Saccharomyces cerevisiae S288C: one gene and its partners. Changing the gene in region 4 together with the main gene of any one other region gives a genetic interaction. Each region holds a gene or a part of one and is shown on either strand. Other genes may lie near its edges. The genes, in order: VAC7, PHO91, MXR1 and GIS3.

Region 1 (5,781 bases), on a different chromosome or scaffold from region 4:
ACATTTTCCTACTCAACGGAAAAGTGATTGGAGGAAAGTCGACAAAGGCTTCGTTAACATGCACTTCAACTACAGAAGCAGAAATACACGCAGTCAGTGAAGCTATTCCGCTATTGAATAACCTCAGTCACCTTGTGCAAGAACTTAACAAGAAACCAATTATTAAAGGCTTACTTACTGATAGTAGATCAACGATCAGTATAATTAAGTCTACAAATGAAGAGAAATTTAGAAACAGATTTTTTGGCACAAAGGCAATGAGACTTAGAGATGAAGTATCAGGTAATAATTTATACGTATACTACATCGAGACCAAGAAGAACATTGCTGATGTGATGACAAAACCTCTTCCGATAAAAACATTTAAACTATTAACTAACAAATGGATTCATTAGATCTATTACATTATGGGTGGTATGTTGGAATAAAAATCAACTATCATCTACTAACTAGTATTTACGTTACTAGTATATTATCATATACGGTGTTAGAAGATGACGCAAATGATGAGAAATAGTCATCTAAATTAGTGGAAGCTGAAACGCAAGGATTGATAATGTAATAGGATCAATGAATATTAACATATAAAACGATGATAATAATATTTATAGAATTGTGTAGAATTACAGATTTCCTTTTATGGATTCCTAAATCCTCGAGGAGAACTTCTAGTATATTCTGTATACCTAATATTATAGCCTTTATCAACAATGGAATCCCAACAATTATCTCAACATTCACCCATTTCTCAAAACTATCACGGAATACTAATCGAAGACTAGTGACGCACGTTACGCTATAGCAACAACGTCACAAGGATAACGTTAGTAGTTTTTTGGAAGGACAATTGCAAACTATATGTAAACGAACGAAGACACACAGTCCAAAGCTGTAACAACAACCACATATATAAATGGTAGTCTTCTAGGAAACTTCACTGTAAGATTAGATACGTAGAGGTGAAAGACAAGTTGAAGTTTGGATCGGAAGTTCCATTAATATTTGGGTAAGTAAGTTCGCCGCGCGGCAGAAACGGTGAGTACTTACTCACTTTTGTTCTAACTACAACAAAAAACTGTAAAAGTGGTGTAAGGTTTACGTTCCGTTTTGGTTGCAAATCATCAGCCCTGGTTTAAGCTTTATGTCCAACATTGGTTAGCGAAGGCACCGTACTGGTCTCGATGTCGGTGAGCAGGGGCGGCGAAATTCATTCCAATCTTGGATAATATATATGTATATATCTATACACGCGGCGAGATCTTGTCCTCTAATTTCCCTTCGCTAAATCATTAAGAGGTCATTCATGAAGTTAATTCAGCACCAAAGTTGGACTGTTAGACACGAGATACACATTGCAGTCCAAATGTGCAGATTTTTCAGATAATTGTCGTCGCACAAGACTGCCCCTCCCGTCCTCAGACAGACACAAAATTAGATTTTACGTTTACATAAAGATGTACATAACTTGAAAAAACGTTAATCCCTCTTAAATTTAGACCTTGTAAGTCTTCCTGGCCACTCTTTGTGATATATTGTAGTGCAATATATTGATTCGTTCTTCTTATTTCTTTGTTCTTAGGCATTTCCGCTTTAGAAAATTCGTTGGGTGGTTTCTGCGACGGGTATCCCCTTCGATTTTGCATAATGATCTTCAATTCTACAACTAAAATCAAGTAGATACAGGAAAATATTCCATAAATTATAGTGTAAATCGCCCTGTATACACCTTATCGTTTCATCTCAGGCAAGTTAAAGCATTTGGGAAACGTGCTAGATGACAGAAGAAGATAGAAAGCTCACTGTAGAGACAGAAACAGTTGAGGCACCCGTGGCAAATAATCTTTTATTGTCGAATAACAGTAATGTAGTAGCACCTAATCCTTCTATTCCCTCTGCCTCCACATCTACCTCTCCGCTACACAGGGAAATAGTTGATGATTCTGTCGCTACTGCTAACACCACCAGCAACGTTGTACAGCATAATTTGCCCACCATAGATAACAATTTAATGGATTCCGATGCCACGTCACATAATCAAGATCATTGGCATTCAGACATAAACAGGGCAGGAACATCAATGTCAACGAGTGATATCCCAACAGATTTACATTTAGAACATATCGGCTCTGTTTCATCAACTAATAATAATAGTAACAATGCCCTAATCAACCACAACCCTCTGTCATCTCATCTTTCCAATCCGTCATCTTCATTACGAAACAAGAAGAGCTCTTTGTTGGTAGCTTCTAACCCTGCGTTTGCTTCAGATGTTGAACTCTCGAAGAAGAAACCTGCCGTCATCTCCAATAATATGCCTACAAGTAACATTGCCCTTTATCAAACAGCGAGATCGGCGAATATTCATGGTCCATCATCAACTTCCGCATCTAAAGCGTTCAGAAAGGCTTCGGCCTTCTCCAATAACACGGCACCCAGCACTAGTAATAACATCGGCTCGAATACACCTCCAGCTCCTCTTTTACCTCTACCTTCACTATCACAACAAAATAAGCCAAAAATAATAGAGAGGCCCACAATGCACGTCACTAATTCAAGAGAAATACTTTTAGGTGAAAACCTGTTAGATGATACAAAGGCGAAGAATGCTCCCGCGAATTCAACCACACACGATAATGGTCCAGTAGCAAATGATGGGCTGCGTATACCGAATCACTCGAACGCAGATGATAATGAAAATAACAACAAAATGAAGAAGAATAAAAACATTAATAGTGGGAAAAATGAACGTAATGATGACACCAGCAAAATATGCACTACATCTACTAAAACAGCGCCTTCAACCGCACCTTTGGGCAGTACAGACAATACTCAGGCTCTCACTGCTAGTGTCTCCAGCAGTAATGCTGACAATCACAATAATAACAAGAAGAAAACCAGCAGCAACAACAACGGCAATAACAGTAATAGTGCATCCAATAAAACCAATGCCGATATCAAGAATTCTAACGCCGACTTGAGCGCTTCTACCTCTAACAATAATGCAATAAATGACGACTCACATGAGAGTAATTCAGAAAAACCAACAAAGGCGGATTTTTTCGCTGCAAGGCTGGCTACAGCTGTAGGTGAAAATGAAATTAGTGATTCTGAGGAAACATTTGTTTATGAATCGGCAGCTAATTCGACTAAAAACCTAATATTTCCTGACTCCTCCAGCCAGCAGCAGCAGCAGCAACAGCAACCTCCAAAACAACAGCAACAGCAACAAAATCATGGAATAACCTCAAAGATAAGCGCCCCATTGCTAAACAATAACAAAAAATTATTAAGCCGACTGAAAAATTCAAGACATATTAGCACTGGTGCCATATTGAATAACACAATCGCGACTATAAGCACAAATCCGAACTTGAATTCTAATGTGATGCAGAACAATAACAATCTGATGTCGGGACACAATCACCTGGACGAGTTGAGCAGTATAAAACAGGAGCCACCGCATCAATTGCAGCAGCAGCAACCACCAATGGATGTACAATCGGTAGATTCGTATACCTCTGACAACCCAGACAGCAATGTTATTGCCAAGTCGCCTGATAAGAGGTCAAGCTTAGTATCCCTATCTAAAGTTTCTCCACATTTACTTTCATCCACATCAAGCAACGGTAACACAATATCGTGTCCCAATGTTGCCACAAATTCGCAGGAATTGGAACCAAACAATGATATTTCAACGAAGAAATCTCTTTCCAATTCTACTTTGAGACATTCCTCTGCTAATAGAAATTCTAATTATGGTGACAACAAAAGGCCTCTTAGAACAACAGTGTCAAAGATATTTGATTCAAACCCTAATGGAGCTCCTTTACGGAGATACTCTGGGGTACCGGATCACGTTAATCTAGAAGATTACATCGAACAGCCGCATAATTATCCAACAATGCAAAATAGTGTGAAAAAGGATGAATTTTATAACAGCAGGAACAATAAGTTTCCCCATGGTTTAAACTTTTATGGTGATAACAATGTTATTGAAGAGGAAAATAATGGTGACTCGTCTAATGTAAATCGACCGCAACACACTAACCTTCAGCATGAGTTTATTCCAGAAGATAACGAAAGTGATGAAAACGATATTCACTCCATGTTTTATTATAATCATAAGAACGATTTAGAAACAAAACCGCTAATATCCGATTATGGTGAAGATGAAGACGTAGATGATTATGATCGCCCAAATGCTACTTTCAACAGTTACTATGGCTCAGCATCCAACACGCACGAACTTCCATTACATGGAAGGATGCCTTCAAGATCAAATAATGATTACTACGATTTTATGGTTGGCAACAATACTGGCAATAACAACCAATTGAATGAATATACCCCCTTAAGAATGAAACGTGGTCAAAGACACCTATCAAGAACAAACAATAGCATAATGAATGGTAGCATCCATATGAATGGTAACGATGACGTTACCCATTCCAATATCAATAATAACGATATTGTTGGTTACTCACCGCACAACTTTTACTCAAGGAAGTCCCCATTTGTGAAAGTAAAGAATTTTCTTTATCTTGCATTTGTTATATCATCACTATTGATGACAGGATTCATTCTGGGATTTTTATTGGCCACTAATAAAGAACTACAAGATGTAGACGTGGTAGTGATGGATAATGTGATTTCAAGTTCGGACGAGTTGATCTTCGACATCACAGTAAGTGCTTTTAATCCAGGATTCTTCAGTATAAGCGTTTCCCAAGTCGATTTGGACATTTTTGCAAAAAGTTCTTACCTGAAGTGCGATTCTAATGGTGACTGTACAGTAATGGAACAGGAACGGAAAATTTTACAAATAACGACAAATCTTTCGTTAGTTGAAGAGAGTGCTAATAATGATATTAGTGGTGGGAACATAGAGACGGTATTACTAGGAACCGCTAAAAAACTAGAGACACCATTAAAGTTCCAGGGCGGCGCATTTAATAGGAACTACGATGTGTCAGTCTCGAGTGTCAAGCTTTTAAGTCCTGGGTCTCGTGAAGCCAAGCACGAAAACGACGATGATGACGATGATGATGGCGACGATGGTGACGATGAAAACAATACTAATGAAAGACAATACAAAAGCAAACCAAATGCTAGAGATGACAAAGAAGATGATACTAAAAAATGGAAGCTACTAATCAAGCATGATTACGAATTGATAGTCCGTGGAAGCATGAAGTATGAGGTGCCCTTTTTCAATACGCAAAAATCTACGGCTATTCAAAAGGATTCCATGGTCCATCCTGGTAAGAAGTGAGTGTTAAGAATGTAGCTTTTTCGTCAAAGCTGGGTATTTTTCTTTTTATAGCGCAGGAGCGGAAGGCAATTTCCAAAACAGGAATGTACTTTCCAAAAAAGGAAAATGTAGTTTGTTTTTTGATGTTTTTTTCTCTTTGACTATTTCAAATTTAGAAGTGAAAAAATACAAAAATGTTACATAGGATTCGATACAGTGTAATATATCATTATTATTACTTTTAAATAAAGCGTTTAGTAAACAAGAGTGAGGGTTATGCAACTCGTTTAGTAAACATTCTTTTTTTTTTCTTCATTTAAGTATAAGACAACAATAGTAGCGGAAGCGATAGTAATACATTTGGTAGCGATAAGTGCACATGCAATTTCACTCAGATAAGCAGCATTTGGACAGTAAAACCGACATCGATTTCAAGCCAAACTCACCGCGTTCCTTACAAAATAGGAATACCAAAAATTTATCTTTAGATATAGCAGCACTCCATCCATTAATGGAATTCTCATCGCCAA
Region 2 (5,082 bases), on a different chromosome or scaffold from region 4:
GTGCAGTGTTTTCCTTCCTGACGCACTGAATTAGCTTTTTGTCGATGATTTCTGGGGACCAGACGAGATCTGCACCGTGGGCCAGCGCCATCAGTCTCGTGGGCAGTTCGCCGGCTCTTACCATTGGAGCTAGAACCAGTTTTCCAGCATATGTAACCATGATCTCTGTGTGACTGCGCTATTTGGTGTGGCTTGGATGGATGAAATAGCAAAAGTTTTTCAAGACGGTTTTCATTTTTTCTTCGAGCGAAGTGATGAGCAAAGTAGAGGAAATGGAAAGCGGCAAAAAATGCATTGTCGATTTTAGTAATGAATATATAAAACGACGGAAATATATATATACATGGCTGCGTAGACCACGCAGAACTGTATATGTATGTATGTATAGAGGAGGGATGGGAAATGCTGTGTGACGATAGACAGATGGATGGACGAATGGATAACTACGTCTCTAGTCTCTCATACAATGGTTTGTCAAACTTGACGGCGACCGAGTTTCTTCTGTGGTGATGTCTGTTGCAAGGACAAGACGGGTCTGAGTGGTCGTTAGGAGACGCGGATGTTTGCGGCTCCTGTTGGTCACTGATGGGGAACATCATGCTATGCTGGGCGTACGAGACGGACCTTTTCATCTCGGACGACGAGCGATTATCGAAGGAGGGCAGTTGTGGCTCACTGGCCCTTCTTTGAAAGTTTTTGTGATGCGCGCATTGGTGGAAGTCGCTTGCCGGCAATACAGAGTTGCGCCTAGAAGAGGGCAGTAGTGACGGCGAGGTTGGGTCAGAAGTCAAGCACGAGGCTGCGGTGTAGTTACTCTTGAACAATGAGGGCCGCGTAGGGTCTGCTACAACGGGAGCGGAAACATTAAGTACAGTCTCGACGATTTCATTGTCAGTTGATAAAGCAGGCGGTAAGCCGACGGAGCTGCCTCTGGGGGAGCAGGCTTTAGATGTAGCAGAGGAGCAGGAGCTGCTGCTGCTGCTCCTGCTGCTGCTTCTGTCCGCGATCGACTTGTAGTGGAAGGTGATGTGAGCGGAAACAGGGATGTTCACGGCACAAGGCTTGATATCCGTGGACGACATGGAACGTTTATTAGTTATATTTTTCGAGAAAAAATCTGAAACTTGCAGATCATTAGTTTACGCTTCGGATGTACACACACATACCTATATACATATATACATACACATATATATACATTTGTGTGCTCGTATGCGTACTGTTTTGCACTGGGCTGATTCGAGAAAGTCAAAAAGCTTAACTGGCCAGAAAAAGAAATTAAAACGGCACCGAGGGGTCGAAACCTTCCGTTTCTGCGAAGGCCCTTTGTTCTTTTGCTTTTGATCCGAAATGAGGGGCGGCGAGAGGTAAGGGGTAGAGGGGCTGGAACTCTCGCTGATGTTCTGAGCGAGGTGTTCAGGTGGGCCTATCCGCCTTAATCACTCCGGCGTGGGGAAAGAAAGCAGAGAGCGAGCAGAGAGCGAGCAGAGAGTGGGTGATGTCAGAGAACGATAATCCTGATGGGGGGTGGAACTTTATTACCCTACTTGAATTTTTTTATTTTGGTAGGGTAACTTTTATTCCCTTGAAAAAAATACTTCTGGTTACCCGGATCCGTTTTTTTTCGGGGATCCACGTGATGGCTTTTTGATCAGGACTAATTTTAAAACTGAAAAAAAAAAAAAAAAATTGAGTATGTCTTGCATGTATGAAAATTGATAAGTAACTAGGAAAAATGCCGCTCAAAATCTTAGTAAAAATAACTTCTTTTCTTTTTTTACTTAGTCAAATAAAAAGAAAACTGTGAAGGTGACACGGTAACTTGCAGACTGACATGAAGTTCTCGCATTCCTTACAATTCAATTCTGTACCAGAATGGTCTACCAAGTATCTGGCCTATTCGCAGCTGAAAAAATTGATCTATTCTTTGCAAAAAGATAAGCTGTACAGTAACAATAAGCACCATGTTGTGGAGCCACATGACGCCAACGATGAAAATCTGCCGCTATTGGCAGATGCTTCTCCAGATGATCAATTCTACATCTCTAAATTTGTTGCTGCCTTAAACCAAGAATTGAAAAAAATTGATAAATTCTACATATCTCAAGAAACAGGTCTTATCGCCAACTACAACGAATTGAAGGACGATGTCATGGAACTGGAAAACACGAACAAGGCCACCCAATTGTTTAATCAGCAGCAACAGCATCAACTGCAAAGTGTTGCAAGAAACAGGAAGTCTAAGTCACAACAACGCCAAAGAAGGTTTAGTAGTGTCTCCTCCACGGACTCCAACCCCTCTCTGACAGACATGTCGATTGACTCTGCACCCGTCATCCACACGCAGGTCTCGAACACGACTAATAATGGTAACTCAATGCAAAACCTGGCCTCCGCTTCAGTGTCGCTTTCTAACTCTAACCCTGTGTATCTTTCTCCTTTTACCCAACATAGGCTCTCTTTAAAGAAAAGATTGATATCGATCTACACCCAGTTGTCCGAGTTGAAGGACTTTATTGAGTTGAACCAGACCGGGTTCTCCAAGATCTGCAAGAAATTTGACAAGTCCTTAAATACGAACTTGAAGCAGAACTACTTGAACTATATCAAATTCCATTCGCATGTTTTCAATCCTGCTACAATAAATAGGATTCAGCATCACATTACCGAGACCATCCTCACTTACGCTAGCTTGAACAAGGGCACGCGTCGACCATCTAATACGTTTAACTTGGACGCTGACCGAATCAACAATGACGAAAACAGCAGCGGTAATGAAGAAGACGAAGATGGCAACAGACAAGAAGTCCTCGATTTCCAGGATGCTGAGCGTGAATTATCCTCTCATTTGAGAGATCACGTAGTTTGGGAAAGAAACACCGTTTGGAAAGATATGATGAATTTGGAGAGAAAGTACCAATCTGCCAAGACTGACAACAAGAAGTTTTCAAAGTTGAGTTCCAGTCAATTGCGCCCCAATGCCAACATTACTGAATCCATGGCAATGTCGAGTGGTGGCGCCGGTATCATCGCTCCATCAACGGATTCCCTAACTTTCCGTGAACTCATGCATTTACCACCCAAGCAATGGTTGCAATTTATCATGGGCCAAACTTCCCTGCTGAAGTTTCTGTTAATCACCTCATGTTTCATTGCATTATTAACTTTTAATTTGACTCCTTTTACGCAGGATTCCTTACAGAAAAACTGTTTCGCCATCTTAATATATGCATCTTTATTATGGGCCACTGAGACCATCCCCCTTTTCGTGACTTCTCTAATGATTCCTCTGCTTATTGTAGTGTTCCCTGTTATCAAGGACCCTATCACCTCCCAACCAATGTCTCCCCGTGATTCCTCTCAGTTCATCTTATCAACGATGTGGTCGAGTGTCATCATGCTTTTGCTGGGTGGGTTTACTTTAGCAGCCGCCCTTTCCAAGTACAACATTGCCAAAGTCCTTTCTACGCATATTTTGGCATCCGCCGGTACAAACCCACATTTTATTCTTTTAACAAATATGTTTGTGGCGCTCTTTGTTTCCATGTGGGTTTCTAATGTTGCTGCCCCCGTTCTTTGCTATTCAATTGTTCAACCTTTGCTCAGAACACTGCCAAGAAATTGTTCCTATGCCAAAGCTCTAATTCTTGGTATCGCTCTTGCCTCCAATATCGGTGGTATGTCTTCTCCCATCGCTTCTCCTCAAAACATTTTTTCTATTGGTATAATGGACCCTTCACCATCTTGGGCTGAATGGTTTATGATTGCGCTACCTGTGTGCTTTATTTGTGTCATGGCAATTTGGGTGCTATTGATCATAACCTTCCCTCCTGAGCCAAATGTGAAAATTTTGCAATTGCATCCATCCCGTGATCCATTCACTCTGAAGCAATGGTTTGTCACTTTAGTTTGCATTATAACAATTGTTCTTTGGTGTCTTTCAAACCAAATCTCCGGTATCTTTGGTGAAATGGGAATCATATCTATTATACCTATAGTAGTCTTCTTCGGTACAGGTCTTCTAACTTCGGATGATTTCAATAATTTCATGTGGACAATCGTTGTTTTGGCCATGGGAGGTACCACCCTAGGTAAGGCGGTAAGCTCATCCGGTTTATTGTCTACAATGGCACAGTTAATTAAGGCGCAGGTTGAGCATGAACCAATCTTCATTATTGTGTTGATCTTCGGTCTAGTGATTCTTGTAATGGCCACTTTTGTCTCCCATACCGTCGCGGCAATGATCATCGTACCATTAATGAGTGAGATCGGTTCCAATCTACCTTCAGGTGATCATTCTAGACTATTGATCGTTATAGCCGCCCTATTATGCTCTAGTGCTATGGGTCTTCCAACCTCTGGTTTCCCCAACGTGACTGCCATTTCAATGATTGATGAAGTTGGTGATAGATATTTGACCGTGGGTACATTTATTACGAGAGGTGTACCAGCCAGTTTGTTAAGTTATGCCGCTATTGTTACAGTAGGTTATGGCATATTGAAAGTAATGGGATTTTAAGATTATCCATAGAGAGAATGAAAGGTTACTAATATAGTATGTATACGTGCACTATTATTTAATTTTACTTTATATTGCCTCTAATTATTCTCAATCACAACCAAAATACTTTGAATCAAAAAATCTGGTCAATGCCCATTTGTATTGATGATTTTGTAACTTTTCTCTGGAGATGATCATACCAGCAAAAATGTTGACTTTGTTATCAAATGCATTTAATATACGTCGGATACCAACTTCAGTGGCCAAATAAACCACCACGCTAATCTTTTCCAAATCAATACCATGATCTAAAAGCACCTGGATGGCCATGATCATGGCCGCACCACTTATGATTTGACCTTCCATTAAGAAAACCTTGCCAAACTTTTCTATATTTGGGGGTAAAAATTCGCAATGCAGTTGAGGTTCCCCAGTTTGTGAATCGGACTGAATCAACAATTTACCAATTGTGATATTGGGGATCGTCTTTCTCAAAGACTTCATAAAACAATCGCCAGATCGAATAATATTAACAGCTGTAACTTGATCGAATTGACAGGCAATAACGTTTTCCATGGTAT
Region 3 (2,799 bases), on a different chromosome or scaffold from region 4:
CAAGTCTAACGATAAGTCTTTCAGAGAAAAGCACATTGAATTCCAAAAGACAGGCCCATTCGAAGTTGGTGTCCACGTTTTGCCAAAGATCTTGGATGAAGCTGTCGCTAAGTTCCACTTGGGCAACTTGGGTGTTAGATTGACTAAATTGAGTAAAGTCCAATCTGAATACTTGGGTATTCCAGAAGAAGGTCCATTCAAGGCCGACCACTACAGATATTGATCAATTCAATTCCCATTTCAGTTCTTCTTTCTCACTATTTTTTAATGTTCAAAAACTCAACGGTTTGATCATCAAAAAAGATCATAAATAAATTGCAAATATAAAAACAACAGCTAACAATCCTATCACAGTATTAATACTAATACATGTGATACTAAGTTACGTTATCGAAAAGATAGATCCTGTATACCTATATATATAATAAATTCTTCAACAGTAAATATTTCATTCATGCACTTGACTTTTTTTCATAAATAAGGGCACGTACACTAAAAAAGCTACATTTCTCTCAGATAATGAGTAGGGCATGCATATCCCTGTGGATTCTTATCTAAATATAACTGGTGGTATTCTTCAGCATCGTAAAAGTTCTTGATTGGTTCAATAACTGTGGCAATCTTATTACCCCATTTTGGTTGCCATTCTTCCTTTATTTTGGCTAATTCTTTTAAATCAGCATCTGAATGAGCGAACAATCCACTGCGATACTGTGTACCTTTATCAGGTCCTTGTGAATTAGATGTAGTAGGATCATGGATTCTAAAAAAGAAATCAGTTAATTCTCTCAAAGTTATCACTTTGGGATTATAGGATACTTGTAAAACCTCCGCAAAATCTGTGTCACCACCACAAACTCTCTTATAAGAGACACTAGAGGGGCTATCCTTTTTAGACTCTTCTCCATTAGCGTAACCTACTTTACAATCCACTATACGGTCATTCAAATACTTCCTATACATATGTTCTGTACCCCAAAAACATCCACATGCTAATGTGATTAATTTATCCTTGGCTGGATCATACTTAATGGTTTTTGAAATAAGCGACGACATTGCAACTTGATTTACTTGTTAAGTTTTTGACGTTAGAATATAACTGTCTTTCCAATTAAATCTATATATATGATATTGAAAAATGTGTCTCTGTCTACTCTTGTTTATATATGCCCTTCATTTTACTCATCGCAACTCCCTCGTTTTCGGCGCGATCAACTGTGGTGGCGGATTTTTTGACGCTGTGCCCGTTAACTCATTCAATAGTGCTACTGCTATCACTGTCACAGGCTACAAACCGGTCGACTGTATCTTGTGCGTCTGTGACAAGTTGGTCAAGGACAGAGGAGTGTTCTCTTTCTAACCTTGGAGCAGTCAAGTTTGGAGGCAACATCTTAGTACCTTGAAGGCGAGCATTGATTGTGATGCTTGAGCGTGATTTTAAACCAGACTCAGGCGGATTTTTCTCAGCATTAGTAGTTCTTGACTTTTTTATTGGTGATATTTCTATTACGTCCTTCCAAACGTCAACCTGTTCGTCCTGTGTAAGATCCCGAATTCTTTTACCGGGTGAACTATCTAAAACGCTTTGGCTGTTTGTAATCTCATCTACAAAAATCAACGAATCATCGTCATTATCGCTGTGTTCATCGACGGTGGTCAGTCTTGTGGGAGCCGGTATTTCTTCCAGACTAGTATCTTCGTCTGTATCTACAAAAAGCCTTTTTCTCACAGGTTCCAGGATTTCCTTTCTCGACTCGCCTACCTTTCCGATACTTTTAATCGGCGAAGTATGCTTTCTTAAAAACTCATCCAAGTTATTCTTCTGTGGTAGCCGAGACTTATTCGATTTTTTACCTTTCTTCTCTTTTTCTTTCTGTATAAGTTGCTGTGTCTCATAATATTGAATTACTAATGGATGCGATTGAGGTATCAAGTATTTGGGTAACCAAAGACTATTTGGGTGTTCCATTATATCCATCTGACGTCGTGTGGGACTCTTGCTTCTACTGGGAGAATTACTGCGCTTCAAAGGAGATTGAGAAGAAATGGGTATATTAGGCAAGAATGTTGTATACCGTATTTTAAAACATGGTATTTGGAACTTTCCACCATCTATGTTCATAATTTTTTCTTCGGTAATCCTCATATTACCTTTACCTATATTATCGGACTCATCAATTGATAAAAATTCTCTTAATAGAAACATCTCGTGCATAGAATCATGAAACCACTTGTCGAAGCTAGAAATTTGAGGCAAATTCAAACTTTGTAAAAAATATTTCAGTTCATTGAAATTTAAGTTTCTGTAGTGTCCGTTTCCAGCCATATTTATGTATTTATCACTGAGAACTTCTTCATCAAAATATGGTTGGACAATGGGGTGAAAATAGTGCATGATTGCGACAGTTGATGGCCAGCCTTCAAATGAACCTTGATTCAATAAAACAGGATAATTTCTTCCAAATAGCTCGACAGAATGATCCTTGCAGTATAAATATAATCTTTTTTGAAACAATCTATACCGAGACTTCCTCAGACTTTCTGATGTCAAATCTTCTAAATTGAAATCTTTGAAAATGTCATAAAATTCCATGGAAAAGTTAGGATCTTCGCATTGAGCCAACTGCAAAGATTTGTTTTTACCCAAACCCTTGACTCCACGATTGTAATCGGCACCTAATAGCACGCTGAAAAATAAGAGAGACAGGCGATCAAACTTCTTCCCTGCTACTTTATTAATTTTGGGTAGATCTATAACAGTAACAAAAGATTCTTTACTATCATGATGTCTACTGGGAC
Region 4 (3,853 bases):
CCATAGTTTTCGTTTTTCTGGAACGGCTGGAAACAACTAGATATTGTTTCACCATTTTTTATAACTTCCACATAACTTACTAAGACCATATGCAAAATCAAGCAAAATGGAACGTTAGTCTACTGAATGTAACATAGTAAAATTATGGCATGGGGGGATGAGCATTCGCATAATCCCTTTTTTAAACATTTGTTAATTGTGTAGAAATATTTATACATACCATTAAAGCGTTTCATTTGGTAAAAATATAAAAGTCCAATGCTCTAACAGCTTAATAAATTGTCGCTTTTCACTCTGTTCTTCAAATTTAATAGCTGTTGCTCCAACTTAGTCAAGTGCTAGAAAATTCATAGAGGGGCTTTTTTTCATCATTATTGTGACCTCATTTTTTCTTTCTTCGATCGTTTGAGGCGAATATTACCCGGGCGCTTGGTGGTAATGCGTTGTTTTAAATATTATATATAATGAATGTGGTGGTAGAATATATAGTTTACTATTTTTAGATAATGCAAATGGGTGGGGTGAAGGCGATGAAAAGGTGGGGGGTCTATCAGAGAAACCTGCTGTCACACCAGCCCTTTACGACATATTGAATCTCTCTCGTAGGTGCGGAAGTCTTATTGGTGACTTTGCCTAAATTTAGTTTTCCGCATGGTTTGAGCATTGTGCCGCCATTGTTGAACCATGGCTTGACGTCTGAGTGTACGCGGACCAAAGAACTTTTCAAATCCGCCGTTGCATGTTCGCTTGCGGATTCACGGCCTTGCGAAGGTTCCGTATTGCTTGTCGTTGCAACAAAGTGCAAATTCCAGGGGGTAGAATCGCCAAAAAGATCATTTCTTGTTTCATGGACCATGTCAGACCATAATTTTTTCCTAGTAATTAGGGCAAGCTTAATATCGTTCGTAGAGACATTTGGCTCCTTTTTGATTTCCAAAGACCGAATTTCGGAATACGTTAGCTGCTTCAACAGATGGTCATCTACTTCGACTTCGGGTAAAATACTCTTCCTTTTACATGATGTTTCAATAGAGTATAACTTTAGGAAATTGGTATTCAAACTTTTTTGTCTTATTCTTTTATTGGGCAAGAGCTCGCTAGATGCAATCGAACCGTCGGTCTCGGGCGATGGTGATGCAGATGGCCATTGTTCTAATTCTACCAGGTCATTTTCGTAAATCATGTTTTCTGTAGTCGATTTGCTCCTACTCTTCCTTCTTGAAGTCTTGCCGCCTTTCTTGTCGATGATTTGGAAGTCCACAGAGGTCGGACGAAGTTTGGCATCGGACGACGCAGAAACCAGTGAAAGGGCAGAGGACGATCGCGGACGCCGTTCGTATACGGGAGGAAAGATATCGACTAAATCCTTAACCTCCCAGTCGTCGAACAAATCGAGATCATTTATGTTTATTATTTTCATTTTGGGCACGACCGGCTCAGCCAGTACCTCATCGCCAATCGCGGGGGTCTGCAAATCGACAGCGTCAGCAATATCATCTGTCAAGGGATGAAGTTTAGAGGAGCTCAATGAAGAACAGTCGCTTTGAGCTTCCTCGGAGAACTTCCTCTTTATGCTCTGTGTTAAGTGGCCCTCATGTATGGGGCATTCGCCCGATAACGTCTTGGCGGAATTTGTTTTCCTAACTTGCGACATGACCGAGCTTAAGGACGGGGTCATCAAAGATGAGCGATTTTCGTTCAGCAGTTCGGAATCGTCTCGAGCCTTCAGTATTCTAGTCCTCTTGAAGCTATTCCTCTTGGTTAGTGTTCTAGTACGTTCAGCGCTTCCTTGACCATCGAACTGCGGCTTAGTGGAGTGGAAATAAATCTCATCGCTCACCGTCCTATTACTTGTGGCGGTCTTGTTCATGCTGGCGCTGGCTAACTTGTTATTCTTCTTATTAGTAGCGGTAGCGTAAAATGACTTGGGATAAAATACCTTTGATGAGTCGCTCCATGAGTGCAATGCGCCATCATCACGTATGCTTTTGATGAGGCAATGTTCATGCACATGAGCATCGTGCATTAGTGTGTGATTTGTGTTCACGTCCAGCAGCATTCTATAATTATGTCTTGTTGAAAGTGTTCTGTATGTTCGTGTCTATCCAAAGAAACAAGTAATTGAGAAAACTAGCCATCAAATACTTGTGAAGAAGCGAGTTTCCATTCTCTGTTTCACTCGTTTGGCGTTCTCACCATCCCACTTTTATTTCATTGGCTTTTTTAACACAATAAGGCGCCTTCAGCACCTTTGCCGCGCATTAAGGATGGCCACTGACGAAAAACCGGATAAAAAAAGACGAAAAAATGCCGTCTGACCCTAGTCAGGAGCCGCCTCATACACCCTAATTATTTTGGCGCTAAGCCCTAAGCATCATTATTACCCGACATGAAGCGACAGAAGCCCTACGGATGTGCGGCTGGAAAAGAAAGTTTCATGAAGAACCAGTTGATATATATTTTACTATATACTTTTGCTGTGTATTTCTATATGAGGCTAGTTGGTTGGTGGGAACTGGAAGTGAAAGTTCTGTTCTTTAGGGTGCAGCGGTTGCTGTTGCTGTTGCTGTTGCTGTTGCTGCTGTGGTTGGATTGATGCTTGTGATGTTTGTGGTGCCTGTGGTGCTTGTGGTACAGTTTTGCTGCCAGTTTGCTGCGAGTATGTAATTATGGGGTGAGCGGCATTTACATTAGGTGCTGGATTGATGGCTGGATTTGTTTTTTCGTAAGCGGCGATACTAGGCGTTGTGCTACTTGACATGTTTGCAAATGCATTATTAAACACTGGAGGTGAGACAGACTCGGTTAGTTCCCTTTTCTTTGCAAGCTCTTCGAGCCTTTTCTTTTCTTCCTTCATTTTTTTTCTTCTTTCACGGTCTTCCTGTTGTTTTCTTTGTTTGGCCCTTATTATTTTCAATTCAGGCACAAAAATGTTGCGCAGCTCAAGTTCCAAGTCCCTGATGCACCAAGCGCAGATAAAAGTGGAGCATTCAGACAGCGGTTTGCGTTTATCAGTAGGTCTTGAAGACTTGGTGCTGGGTTCAAGTGTGGATTGGGGTCTGCGAGAAGACCTTCTATTGCCGTGCGAATTTCCCATTATGATGACGCCAAAATCACGTTGCGACAGCGTGTGCTGTGGGGATTTTGTGGTTGAAGATATAAGCTCTATAATTTTTGGAGGTTGGCATTCCCAATGCTGCCACCTGTAACAATGATCACAGCATATCAATGGGCGGTTATTGAAGAGGTCAGTCTCCGTGTCTTCGGTGATAATCATGGGCGCCAGCTCTGGTTCGCCCGGACATTGGAAAACAGAATCTTGGTTGTCGGGCTCTTGCTGCGGAGTAAAGATCCCGTAGTTGGCAAGCTCATCTAGCTCTTCCTTTGTTATGCAGAAGTCACTAGGCAATTCAGGGACGTCTCCCGTCTGTAGTGGCCCAACAGTTCCAGGAATTGGTGGTTCCACCGGGATTATACTAGATTGAAAGTTAGGGCCGTGATCAAGAACTCCGATATCGATTTCATTTAAGGGATTGTCCTCCTCCCTGCCCAAAGACGTTTCAAAAAACGGTGTACCAGAACCACTTCTATCTTTGAGCTCGTTACGCCTGGTCAATTTTTCATCTCTATAATCTTGATCGTACAATTGCCACAATTGGTTCCAAAGAAGATCTTTTATCTTTTTGATTTCCTTCGACACTAGCTTGTTTCTGTGCCTTATAAATTGTTCTCTTTCATCTAGTTTTTCAAACCACTCACTTTCCAAGTCTTTTTTCTTGTTTTCTTCCTCTTTCGCTACCAGTCTCGAAGATCTTTTCCTCCTTGTCATTAGCTCCGCAATTGCTCTCTCCTT

The links.
Region 1: mutations in GIS3 (region 4) and VAC7 together harm fitness more than expected from each alone (negative genetic interaction), as found in Saccharomyces cerevisiae (one large-scale study listed by BioGRID).
Region 2: mutations in GIS3 (region 4) and PHO91 together harm fitness more than expected from each alone (negative genetic interaction), as found in Saccharomyces cerevisiae (one large-scale study listed by BioGRID).
Region 3: mutations in GIS3 (region 4) and MXR1 together harm fitness more than expected from each alone (negative genetic interaction), as found in Saccharomyces cerevisiae (one large-scale study listed by BioGRID).

Annotation. Positions count from the first base shown.
Region 1 is NC_001146.8:524,312-530,092, forward strand, and holds VAC7 (Vac7p), read left to right. Parts: upstream 1-1,774; coding exon 1,775-5,272; downstream 5,273-5,781. Other genes in the region: tyrosine/serine/threonine protein phosphatase MSG5, read left to right, coding at 5,631-5,781. UniProt on the Saccharomyces cerevisiae protein: The PI(3,5)P2 regulatory complex regulates both the synthesis and turnover of phosphatidylinositol 3,5-bisphosphate (PtdIns(3,5)P2). Positively regulates FAB1 kinase activity.
Region 2 is NC_001146.8:648,465-653,546, reverse strand, and holds PHO91 (Pho91p), read left to right. Parts: upstream 1-1,834; coding exon 1,835-4,519; downstream 4,520-5,082. Other genes in the region: SMM1 (tRNA-dihydrouridine(20) synthase (NAD(+))), read right to left, coding at 1-160; YNR014W (uncharacterized protein), read right to left, coding at 444-1,082; uridine kinase URK1, read right to left, coding at 4,610-5,082. UniProt on the Saccharomyces cerevisiae protein: Vacuolar phosphate transporter that probably exports phosphate from the vacuolar lumen to the cytosol.
Region 3 is NC_001137.3:233,194-235,992, reverse strand, and holds MXR1 (peptide-methionine-S-sulfoxide reductase), read right to left. Parts: upstream 1,057-2,799; coding exon 502-1,056; downstream 1-501. Other genes in the region: SAH1 (adenosylhomocysteinase), read left to right, coding at 1-223; YEN1 (crossover junction endodeoxyribonuclease), read right to left, coding at 1,253-2,799. UniProt on the Saccharomyces cerevisiae protein: Has an important function as a repair enzyme for proteins that have been inactivated by oxidation. Catalyzes the reversible oxidation-reduction of methionine sulfoxide in proteins to methionine.
Region 4 is NC_001144.5:327,180-331,032, forward strand, and holds GIS3 (Gis3p), read right to left. Parts: upstream 2,060-3,853; coding exon 551-2,059; downstream 1-550. Other genes in the region: NYV1 (Nyv1p), read right to left, coding at 1-79, 221-236; IOC2 (Ioc2p), read right to left, coding at 2,498-3,853.